Linked DNA regions of Macaca fascicularis. The protein of the gene in region 1 interacts with the protein of each later gene in a biochemical or structural test. Links are inferred from orthologs where the notes say so. Each region holds a gene or a part of one and is shown on either strand. Other genes may lie near its edges.

Region 1 (4,079 bases):
GAGGGCATCTGAGTTTTAAAACATTTCCCAGCACTTCTCAGAGGTGCCTTCCTGTCCTCGGCACTCCTGTGCTTCCCTGGCCACTCGGGCAGAAGTCATTAGCGCTGCTGAGAAGGGATGAAGCTGGGGTTTCTGTGCACCGAGGCCCTTAATCCGGATGAGATTTTTTAAACTCCCCACAGCCTGCTATGCCAGTTCTATTTCCAGCTGCATCTGCCCCTGGGTCTTCACAGCTCCTCTGGAGGGGATTAGGCAAACCATGCAGCTGCCTATAACCTCACATCTTGAGGGAAATAGTCATTGAATCTCTGACCTCTGGGCTGGCTGTCTCGGACTCTGAGCTGCCAGGGAACCAGGACTTTCCACCCGGTGGGACTGCCTGGGGGCTTTTGAAATGCCCCTGCCTGTCCCCCACTCCCGGAGATGGTGACTTCCTGGGTCTGGGCATTAGGAGTTTGTAAAACTCCCCGATGATTCTTCTGTCCAGTCCAGGCTGAGAACCACTGGTCAGAGGCCTGGGCACATCCCAAGGCTTGTCCAGAATCACGGAGTGCAAGTGACAGAAACAAAAGAGGCTGCTGATTGCCTCACTGAGCAGGTGAAGCCCAGGCTTGACCACTGATTAGGCCAGTTGGACCCAGGAGTTCAGGCCGGAGGATGCCTGCTTCCCTCTGCTCTGTCCCATGGGCCCCAGCAGCCTGGGCCCACATCCTCTCAGTCGGAAGCCGGCTCTCACCAGCTGGCTGGGCTCACAGCCCCACCCTGAAACCAGTAGTGTGGCCCGGGGGGCCCCGCAGGGCTCAGACACCCAGGCCTTGGGTGGTTGAAGGCCAAGAGCTGGGGGCCGTCTGGGAACCACACAGCCTGGAGTGGGAGGGGGTGCTCCTCAAGGGACAATTGAGGCGCTGGCTTTCAGTGGGAGGAAAGGGAATGGCTATGAGCTGGACAGAGCCATTATGTCACCAAGAGAGGCTCTGTGCCCCGGCACCAGGTGCAGACTGTCTGGGCCCAGAGCCTCTGCTGCTTCCCCTCCCGTCCCCCAAACACCAGCCCCTGGCCAGCCTGGCGGCGTTTCCGACTGAGTGTGGCTGTCAGTCCTCTTGCGGGCCTTGCTCCAGCCAGACTCCCGCCTTGGGCCTCTGCCAGCCCGGCACTGATACCCACGGGCAGAGCTGAGACGAAGGAGAGGGCCCCTGGGGAGTATCCGCAGCAGCCAATCCCAGAAGACATCGATGTCAGGTGGTTTCTAGAAATCGAAAGTAGACTTTTCTGAAGCATTTCCTGGGATCAGCCTGACCACACTCCACCCTGGGAGAGGCTTCTGGGTCAAAGGAACAGTCTGCAGAGGGCTCTTGTGGCTGGAAGTGACGGGGCTGCAGCACAGCCATCGCAGCTGCCCCAGCCAGGTAAGCTGCTGCCTCCAGCTCCCAGGTGGGCACCTCTCTCTCTCTCTCTCTCTGTTTTGTTTTTTTTGTTTTTTTTGTTTGTTTGTTTGTTTTTTGTGACAGGGTCTCACTCTGTCACTCAGGCTGGAGTACAGTGATGCTATCTCAGCTCACTGCAGCCTCCGCCTCCCGGGTTCAAACGATTCTCCTGCCTCAGCCTCCCAAGTAGCTGGGATTACAGGCACGCACCACCACGTCCAGCTAATTTTTGTATTTTTAGTAGAGACAGGGTTTCGCCATGTTGGCCAGCCTGGTCTCAAACTCCTGACCTCTGGTGATCTACCCGCCTCGGCCTCCCAAAGTGCTGGGATGACAGGCGTGAGCCATCGCGCCCGGCCAGGGCACCCCTCTCTCTACACAGGCAAGTGGGGGTCATGCCTCCCTGTTTGCACATAGGCCTGGAGCTGGGGATCCAGGGCTCCTGAGCCCAGCAACAGTCATTGCTGCTCCCAGGCCCACAGGACCTCTGTGTGCAGTTGGGCAGGTGGCACGAGGATACCAGCCAGAGGGCGAGTGGGTTAGAATCCAGGTTGGCCTCTCTCGGGCCTGTGCATTTGGCCTAGGCCTGCACCCACTCCTAGGAAGAGCACCTTTTTTTCTGATTTGCATGAAGGGGGCAACACAGGCAGCCGGGTCTCAACTCCCCGTATGAAGGAATCAGGCAAAAGTCCCAGCCGCTGCCACCCAGAGGGCGGAACGCCACCTGCCAGGTGCTTCGTTGCCCACTTTTTTTTTTGAGACGGAGTCTTGCTCTGTCACCCAGGCTGTAGTGCAATGGCTCACTGCAACCTCTGCCTGCCAGATTCAAGCAATTCTGTTGCCTCAGCCTCCTGAGTAGCTGGGACTACAGATGCGCACCACCACGCCCAACTTCTTCTCCTTCTTCTCCTTCCCCTTCTCCTTCTTCTTTTGTATTTTTAGTAGAGGTGGGGTTTCACCATGTTGGCCAGGCTGGTCTCGAACTCCTGACCTCAAATGATACACCTGCCCCAGCCTCCCAAAGTTCTAGGATTACAGGCGTGAGCCATCGCGCCTGGCCACTTGGCCATTTTTCCAAGGCCCTGAGTTACTCTCCCAGGACGGACAAACCTGGTGGCTGCAGCGGAGTGAAGTGGCTGGGTACAGAAGTGGAGAGGGCGTCCACCCATACCGGCGTGCCTGGGACTGAGGGTTTCCCAGGACACAGGGAAACTTCAGTGCTAAAACAAGCACAGTCCCCAGCACACAGGACAGGCAGTCACACCCTGGTGTCTTTAGCCATCTACTGACATTGACGCAGGGAGGAGAGGTGGGCTCCACCGAGCAGACCCCCTGCCTATGGCTGTGGACGTGGAGCCCATTTACCTCTCTGGGTGTCAGCTTCTTCACTTGTAAGGTGGGGTGTAACTAAGGTGGTTCTCAAGGTCACGGTAAGGCCTCCAGTGGTACCTGGGGAGCCCTGATAAGGGGTGGCTGCGCAGTGCCAGTGAGCGTGAGTCCCAGAGCAAAGCTCTCACCAGCCAGGGCACCCAGCTCCCAGGGTGCTTGTTCATGCAGACTCCCATGCAGAGGGGCTAGGGCGAGGCCAGCCATGACAGCACTTCCAACAAGCTCTGGCGATGCCATTGCAGCCGTCCACCAGGCCCCCTCTGAGCAGCCTCAAGGTCACCAGGCCCAGACTCCCAGCCGGTGCCCACAGCAGTGCCACCCAGAGGCCTGCCCCTGGCTTGCTGAACTGAGGGGACAGTGTCACAGGATTCTTACCGAGCCAGAGAAGCCATACCTGTCTCTCCATTGGCGGGGTGTGGGGGAGGGAGGCAGGCGAAGACAAAAGCGTGGAAATTACACGGAGGCAAGAACACCAGGCCAGAAGGCGGAGACCCGGACCTCCCCAACCGCAGCCTGAGTGTCAGTGTCTTGGGGATACTTCAGCATTTCCTCCCCGTTCTTCCCCCAGCATGGCCCACCCTGGGCTGCAGCCCTGACCCTTTTCCCCTATCTTCCCCATCCGAACACCATGGAGCCCCGATGTGTCTCCTTGCTGCTTATCTGTCACCCCGGCCCAGCCTCCGTGGCCTCTCCTGACGAGTCCCCTCCCATCCACTCTGCAGGCTGCCTTTGCCTGCTTAGGCCTCTGGGACAGTCCCTGCGGGGGTCTGTTGCCTGAAGATTAAGGCCCAGATCTTAACCAGGCTCACCCGGCCCCCCGACCTGGGCCTGTGCCCATGGCCTCCTCCCTCTCCACCCTCCCCGCCCATGCCCATGTGGCGGCCTTGCCCGGGGCCTGGTTTTTTGAGATGAGCTCACTTGCCTCTAGTCACCGATTCTTGCTGTCCTTAACTGCCAGGGGGTACCCCCAGCCCACCCCTTCATCTAGCCAAGTCTTACACATCCTTCCAGGAGCATGCTGCAGACCAGGTGAGGGGCCCCTGTGGGGCGCTTCCATAGCACCCATCACACTTACTGGGACCACAGTGGGCTCTGCAGGAGAGGGATCCCGCCTGCCACACAGCCCAGGTCGGGCTGAAGGGTTAATGGGCAGGCCGGTCCCCGGGCTTCGGGCCACCTGGCTCCCGTGCCTCACTCTGCCGCTTCTGTCTGCAGCAGGATCTGGGCATCCAAGCATGGCCATGGCCCCTCCGAGGCTCTTCTGGG
Region 2 (4,366 bases), on another chromosome or scaffold:
GGCCAACAAGGTGAAACCCCGTCTTTACTAAAAATACAAAAATTGGCCGGGCATGGTGGTGGGGGCCTGTAGTCCCATCTACTCAAGAGGCTGAGGCAGGAGAACCTGGGAGGCAGAGGTTGCAGTAAGCCGAGGTCATGCCACTGCACTCCAGCCTGGGCGACAGAGTGACACTCCATCTCAAAAATAAATAGATAAAAATAAAAAAGAGAGAGGACAGGGTGCTGTCATGCACATCCATGTAAAGAGACCACCAAACAGGCTTTGTGTGAGCAACATGGCTGTTTATTTCACCTGGGTGCAGGCGGGCTGAGTCCGAAAAGAGTCAGCGAAGGGAGATAAGGGCGGGACCGTTTTATAGGATTTGGGTAGGTAAAGGAAAATTACAGTCAAAGGGGTGTTGTTCTCTGGCAGGCAGGAGTGGGGGTCACAAGGTGCTCAGTGGGGGAGCTTTTTGAGCCAGGATGAGCCAGGAAAAGGAACTTCACAAGATAATATAATTGCTTAAGGCAAGGGCTGGCCATTTTCACTTCTTTTGTGGTAGAATGTCATCAGTTACTGCAAGGCAGGGCATTTGCACTTCTTTTGTGATTCTTCAGTTACTTCAGGCCATCTGGGCGTACGTGCAAGTCACAGGGGATGCGATGGTTTGGCTTGGGCTCAGAGGCCTGACAGGTGCACAGAGCTAGGACCCCACCCCCTCCTGGCCTGGACCACCCTGGGCCATCTCCCCAGCTTGACACTCAGGCCAGAGGCTGTCAGGCCAGGGTGCTTTGACTATCCCCTGCATGCCCCTGAAGGGGGCCAAGCCCGAGGACTTAGCCAAGCCCTGCAACCTAAGGCTTGGCGTGCAGCCCAGCCTTTCTTTAGCCTTAGCTAGGAGCGAGCAAGCGCTGCAGCAGCCGCAGTCCTTGCTTCCGGGGAAGGCCCGGGTGGCGCCAGGGCCTGTGGTTTAAGTCAGTGGCCCTCTGCAGACGCGCACGCAGGAGCCACGCCCTGGTCCCTGCCCTGGAGTGGCCTGGTCTCTCCCAGCTCTGATTCCTTGAAGGACCCTGCACCTCCTCAGCCATCTTCTCTGGGCACCCCCTGAGCCCAGCCTGCTGGCCACAGGCCCCTTCCCGCCAACTCGTGGGCCTAGCTCATCATGAAACTATTTTCCATTGGCTTCCCCCAATCTCTGCCACAGCACAATTTCGGTGGTGGCGGGGCAGGGGGAGGTGGAGAGGGATGAAGAATAGGAGGTGGAGCTTGGACCCTCGTTGGGGGGCGGCAGATGGCCACTCTGATTGGTCACCTCTGCTCCAGAACTGGCTTCAAAATTCCACGGACTCCGCCCTCGGTGGCCCCCAGCCCTGTCCTGACTTGCAATTGGCTGAACTTCCAGGGGGCGGGGCTCACCCGGTCCGGTCCCGTTAAAAGGGTGGGAGCGCCCGGGGGCCCATCTCTCTCGGGTGGAGTCTTCTAACAGCTGGTGCGCCTCTCCTGGCAACATCCTCCTGGCCTCAATCATGGCTTGTGTGAGTGTGGGGACCCCACCCCAAGGTCCAGGGGATAGGGCAGGAGCTGATGGCCGGAGGAGAGCTGGGCAGATCGGGAGCAGGGTTCTAGCCCCAGCTGTGTGGCCTGGAACCACTGCCTTCTCTTTTCTAGACCTCAGTGGCCACATCTGTAAAATGGGGGTGGGCGCCATGGTCCCTCAAGGCCTTCTCTGCATTGATAATTGTTTGGATTCCTCCAGGGTCTGAAAGCACAGTTATTTCTGCCCAGGGTTGACATTCTGCAGCTCTCTGAGTAGTGAGCGTGGGAAGGGTGTGGCCAACTGGGGGACACCCAGGCCACTATATCTTTCCCCCTCCTCCACCCCAAAAAGCCTCCCGTCCCCTCCCCCCTGCAGCTGTCCCAGTCACCAGGCCCGGGCAGAGTCACCCTCTGCTCCAGAATACGCTGAAAAGTCGCCAGGACCCGAGACAGGCTGCCCAGGATGGGCCTTTCTAGGTCGGGGGTGGAGGGTGGTTGTGTCCAGGCTGGTGGGAGGGAGGGGACCCGGGGAAATTCCCTTCCACCACCCCCAAGCTGGGAGGTTGGGGTGGCAGGGAGGTGAGAATCTTCCTCGGGCCCCAGGGAAAGAGTTCAAGTTTCTGACAGAAGAAACCACTCAAATCAGTTAACTCTTGCCCACCCACTCGGGGTGCCAGGGAGCAGCAGTGCGCAGCAGTTTTCTCAATCTTGTTAACCCTGAACCAGCCTGGCCACAGCCCGACTGCAGGCCACTCCCTAATGCAGAGGGGCCGTGTTCTTCAGGGTCTCCTCTCTAGCCCCTGGGCCTCTTCGCAGAGAGGAGCTTGAAGGAGAATAGTAGTGTCCCCCTAGCCACTTCCTCTCCAGCAGAGGGGTCGACCCCTGCATTCAGTGTGACTGTGGGCCAACTGCCTGCCCCTCCCCAGCCTGATCCTCTCTATCTGCGATGGGACAGAGCACCCCACCTCCCAAGCCACTCTTGAGTTCAAAATCCCCAGGCCAATCTGCAAAATCTTCTAGAGCCTGTCTTCTAGAACCTGATTCACATTACAGATTGAAGCCAACCCTGTTGGGAATAGGGACTTTTCCAGGACCACACAGAGAATCAGAGGCTAGAAATCACAGCCCCATCCTGTCCCCAGGCTTCCCCTTGGCTTGGTCAGAGGATGCCGGGCGGGAACAACCCCACTCCCACCCCCAGCCACCCCCGGACACTTCGGGTATTGGAGGCCTTGTCCTCTAACCCGCTGGGCCGGGGCTTGTCTGTGCAGGGTCTGGTCGCCAGCAACCTGAATCTCAAACCTGGAGAGTGCCTCCGAGTGCGGGGCGAGGTGGCCCCCGACGCCAAGAGGTGAGAGGTGAAGTCAGGGTGGTGGGCGGCAGGGATGGGGGCTTGGTCCAGCCGAGAGGGCGTGGCCGGCCAAGTCCACGTCTCCTCCCTGGCCGAGAGTGGGTTAACGGCCGGCCGACGTTGCTGCGCTTTCTGGGTGACTCACTTCCCCCGCGGGGTCTGGGCGCCCCCACCATTGCCGCCCCCTCCCCCGCTCCCTCCCTGCTGTAGCCTCTTAAACTACAACAGCTGCAGCCTCGTCATCTATAATACCTTGGTTCCCCCGCCCCCACCCCTTTCCGGTCTGGGCGGGGCCTGCATCTGGGGAGGGCGGGGAGAAGAGTGAGGCGGGAGTCACCGCCGCCTTCCCTCTGAGTCCCTCCCTCCTGCGTCAGGTCATTCATTCACTGGCTCAGTCCTGTCCTTCTTCCTTCACTCCTCGTTCACTCAGCCGGCTGCCTTATTTTCTCAGCAGCTATGTGACCTTGGACCAGTCAACCAACCTCACCTAGCCTCATTTTGTTAGAAAAACAAGGGGGGGAGGTGGTTGTGTGGAGGAAGTGAGATGCCGATGGTGTAGTGATGATGAGGAGGGTGAGGATCCGCTGATATTGTTAAGAGCTGATATTGTTAAGAGCCGTACACTTCTCATGAACTAATTTCATTGCAACCAAACCCTCAGAGGCAGGTATAGCTATTATCACCACTAAACAAATGCATTTATTATTTTATTTTTTGAGACGGAGTCTCACCCTGTCCTCCAGGCTGGAGTGCAATGGCTTGATCTCGGCTCACCACAACCTCCATCTCCTGGGTTCAAACGATTCTCCTGCCTCAGCCTCCCGAGTAGCTGGGACTACAGGTGCCTACCACCACGCCCAGCTAATTTTTGTACTTTTAGTAGAGATGGGGGTTCACCATGTTGGCCAGGCTGGTCTCGAACCCCTGACCTCATGATCTGCCCACCTCGGCCTCCCAAAGTGCTGGGGTTACAGGAGTGAGCCACCGTGCCCAGGAGTATTATTATTTGTTAATTCACCCCATAATTACTAAGCATCTCCTTCTGGTGTGCCCCACTTGTGCTGGGCACCAGGAACACAGATGTACAAGACAGGACGTGAAGTTGCCATCTGGAGGAAGTCTCTGACCTTGACCAAAAGGGCTAGGACGCTAGTGACTTCAAGAATCTAGCAAGTCCTCCTGTGCAGCCCCCATTGTACAGATGAGCAAACAGGCAAGGAGGGGCAGGGACTAGCTCACGTTCACACCGTAAGCAGCTGTCAGGGCCAGAGCTAGAATCCAGGTTTCTTGTCTCTGTTAGTGAGTTCTTCAAGCAAAGTGTGTTCATGGAGTACTGAGTGACAGATTAGTCAGTCGGTGGGGCTGGAGCTGGCCGAGGTGGCCTCACACCCACCCATTACCCCCCAGCTTCGTGCTGAACCTGGGCAAAGATAGCAACAACCTGTGCCTGCACTTCAACCCTCGCTTCAACGCCCACGGCGACGCCAACACCATCGT
Region 3 (3,643 bases), on another chromosome or scaffold:
CAGCTCAGTGCAGCCTTGACCTCCTAGGCTGAAATGATCTTCTCACCTCAGCCCCTCAAGTAGCTGGGACCACAGGCTGCACCACCACACCTGGCTAATTTTTGTATTTTTCATAGAGACAGGGTTTTGACATATTGTCCAGGCTAGTCTTGAACTCTTGGGCTCAAGCAATCCGCCCACCTTAGCCTCCCAACGTGCTGGGGATTACAGGCATGAGCCACGCCCAGCCAATATCTTGCATTTGAATCAAGTAGTGGACATTTATTGAATCCCTTGGGGCGATGTCATTTCTAAAAGTGATTGAGTAAATATCACAGGTAGGCAATCAAGGATATTCTGGTTGTTTCAAGGTCTATGTAATTCAGGCCATGGCACAGGTGATCCTGAGCTTAGGAAGAACTCACCCATGCCTCAGGGGCCCAACTGCCCTCCTCCCCTCACAGCTGGAGCACCTGCAACAGCTGTGAAGCATCTTGTGCTTTAGGAGCCTTGACATGGGAAGGAACAGGAGAAAGCAGGATTGATGTCTCCAGACCACCCCTTGTGGCAGCTTTGGGCAAGGCAAACCCTCTTTGGTAGCATCTTACACCCAAATATTTTTTTCTTTCACGTTGCCTGAATTTTTTCACCTTAGTTTGTTGTACTGCCAAAGATTTTATTTGGAATAACAAGTACCTTTAAAAAAAGAAAGCACATACAAACTTCAGCTGCCCTTTGAGGCTTAGCTCCAACAGCACTTTTCCTTTCCTTCTTAGAAGTAAGCTTTCTGCGTTTGAATTCCTACAGCACACATTCTAACTCATAGCATTCGTGACTTGTTATTTCACATTTCCATGGATGCATCTCATCTGCCTTGCTGGACTGTGGGCCCTTTGGCTTTTTTTAAAATTCTTAATCTTTATGGGTACATAGCAGGTATATATATTTATGGGCTACATAAAGATGTTTTGACACAGGTATGTAGTGCATGATAATCACATCATGGAAAATGGGGCATTCATATTCTCATTTATTTGTGTTACAAACAATCCAAGTATACTTTTAGTTATTTTCAAATGTACAATGAAATTATTGACTATAGTCACCCTGTTGTGCTGTCAAATATCAGGCCTTATTCATTCATTATAACTATTTTTGTCACCCATTAACTATCCTCACCTCCCTCCCACTCACCCACCCCCAGTACCTTTCCCAGCCTCTGGTAACCATCCTTCTACTCTATACCTCTGTGGGCTCAATCGTTTTGAGTTTTAGATCCCATGGCCCCTTTGACCATGCAGATCATGGCCTATTCATCTTCGCACCTAGACAGGAGCCTGCGCAGTGCCTGACCAAGAGCAGGCATAAGTGTGTGCAAATAGAGGAATAAATAACAGGGCAGCAACTATGTCTGGAGGTCATTGTCTTTCCTGTCTCAGTAGGAATCAATCACTGCTGATCTTCAAAAACCCAGAGGAGGGGATGGGGCAGTTAGTGGGGACAGAGGGCAGATGGGCAAGATGAACACACCAAACCCTTTATAAGGAGTAAGGAAGGAAGGTGAAGAAGAACCAAAAAGAAACCATGACTGTTTACATTTTTCACCTGGAAAAGGGACAGGACCTTTTCTTCCTCCCTGCCTCCTCCTCCCTCATGCATTGTATGGCCTCTTGGTCTCAGGATTCAGAGCACAGGCTAGTGTGATGGAAGTTTAAACTTGTGAGTTATATTTAACTCACAATCTAGCTGGAAAGCATCCCTGCCCCTTGAGGAGATGTTGTGTGGTCCCACACTACTGACTTAGGCATAATGCCTAGAGATTGACTAGAACTGCACAATGAACTAGTGGTGAGGTTCAATTTAATGGAAATCGGTGAAAGCTTTCAGGATCAAATGATAACCTTTGTCTCTTTCTTTCTCTCAGGAAAATGGCAGACAATTTTTCGGTAAGTGTTTTATGCCTGTTTCTTACCCTCGATCAACTCCACATGGTTGAGCGTTGGGGGTTTTGTTTTTACCATGACTTTCCCTTTTCACCCTCCCACTGTGTGGCTTCCCCTAGACTCATTTGTCCAACGAGGGCTTGTGAGCTGGAGCCTTGTTTTCCCAGCAGCAGATTTGGGAAGAAAGCCAGGCAGAGCAAGGCCTGGGACTCACTCACAGTAACCCTTTCACCAAAAGGCCCAGGGCGGAAGGGAGTGGACTCTGCTGGCAGGAGCTGAGAAATCCTCTGAGTAGCGGGAAGCGCGGTACAGTCTGGGCATTCTGATGTTTGTGATTGTTTTTCTCACAGTGATTAAAAAATATGTGCTGTAAATAGAGGAGCGCTAGCTCCTGACTTGGGCTAATTATGAAAATGCAGCCCTCCCTGATTTGAGACCTTGGGAGGCAAGAACAAAGTGAAAAAGCATATGTAACCCCAACGTCTAATTTTAGTCTTAGACACTCAAAACTATTAACAAGTGGAAAAAGTATAATGCTATGCATGTAATGCCTTTGCTATATTCCTCTCCTTCTTAGATCACATATTCCTATTTCCCTGAAAATTCTGCTTTTGAGAATGCTTTCTGTCCTGTAATTGTTTATGTCTTTCTTTACAGCTCCATGATGCCTTATCTGGGTCTGGAAACCCAAACCCTCAAGGATGGCCTGGCCCATGGGGGAACCAGCCTGCTGGGGCAGGGGGCTACCCAGGGGCCTCCTATCCTGGGGCCTACCCCGGGCAGGCACCCCCAGGGGTTTATCCTGGACAGGCACCTCCAGGTGCCTACCCTGGAGCACCTGGAGCTTATTCCGGAGCATCTGGAGTCTACCCAGGGCCACCCAGTGGCGCTGGAGCCTACCCATCTCCTGGACAGCCAAGTGCTCCTGGAGCCTACCCTGCCACTGGCCCCTATGGCGCCCCTGCTGGGCCACTGGTGAGATGGCATTCCTCCTTTCATGTACTTGGCATGCAGAGGGCTTCAGGGAGACCCTGAGCTTTAAACCTGCTGTGACAGCCACTTCTCAAGGGCCAGCCATGGGCATATGTTGGTAGAATCGAAAAATTAAGTGTTCATGTTGAGCTTATTGTGTGTGGTTAGTATAAACAGAAGGTAATGAATATTTTGAAGGCACTGATAAAGCTGCTTATGAATATAAACCAAAATTGTAGTAATGGAGAACATTTTGGTTATTATTAACACTTACTGAGTACATGTCAATAATATGCATCTACCTGGATGATCTAATTTAACCCCATTACCACCCTATACGATACTGTTAATAACCCCATTTCACATGTGGGGAAATGGGGCAATACAGAAGTGATATAATTTGTCCAGGGTCATTGAGCAAACAGGTAGAGGAACCAGGGTAATCTGGTTTTGAAAAACCTTCTAAAGATAATTTTGTGATCTAAGGGTTGAATTTTCATGCAAATTAAAATATGTCTTAGCAAGTGAATTCTAAATGTAAAACATAACTCTGTGGGGGATCCAGATACATCTCAGCCACAGGATCCTTCCTTTCCAGATTTATAGTCTAGTTAGATGATAAAACATATAATAAATATGAGGAAAGAGCTAAGTACCAGTGTGGGATTAGACCATTTCAGAACTATGCAGAAGATGGCACAAGATAGCATTGTCTCCTTTTAGGTCGGTTCAGAGTAGAAAGACTTGGG

Evidence for each region.
Region 2: the proteins of LGALS3BP (region 1) and LGALS1 form a complex in vitro, tested with the Homo sapiens proteins (2 studies listed by BioGRID). The link is inferred for Macaca fascicularis from reciprocal best matches to the Homo sapiens genes LGALS3BP and LGALS1.
Region 3: the proteins of LGALS3BP (region 1) and LGALS3 form a complex in vitro, tested with the Homo sapiens proteins (4 studies listed by BioGRID). The link is inferred for Macaca fascicularis from reciprocal best matches to the Homo sapiens genes LGALS3BP and LGALS3.

Annotation. Positions count from the first base shown.
Region 1 is NC_088390.1:85,383,168-85,387,246, reverse strand, and holds the start of LGALS3BP (galectin-3-binding protein), read left to right. Parts: upstream 1-1,273; 5' UTR 1,274-1,431; intron 1,432-4,028; exon of another isoform or gene 4,029-4,031; 5' UTR 4,032-4,048; coding exon 4,049-4,079.
Region 2 is NC_088384.1:13,959,196-13,963,561, reverse strand, and holds the start of LGALS1 (galectin-1), read left to right. Parts: upstream 1-1,440; 5' UTR 1,441-1,508; coding exon 1,509-1,517; intron 1,518-2,789; coding exon 2,790-2,869; intron 2,870-4,276; coding exon 4,277-4,366. UniProt on the Homo sapiens protein: Lectin that binds beta-galactoside and a wide array of complex carbohydrates. Plays a role in regulating apoptosis, cell proliferation and cell differentiation. Inhibits CD45 protein phosphatase activity and therefore the dephosphorylation of Lyn kinase.
Region 3 is NC_088381.1:122,996,812-123,000,454, forward strand, and holds part of LGALS3 (galectin-3), read left to right. Parts: intron 1-1,903; 5' UTR 1,904-1,907; coding exon 1,908-1,925; intron 1,926-2,579; coding exon 2,580-2,897; intron 2,898-3,643. UniProt on the Homo sapiens protein: Galactose-specific lectin which binds IgE. May mediate with the alpha-3, beta-1 integrin the stimulation by CSPG4 of endothelial cells migration.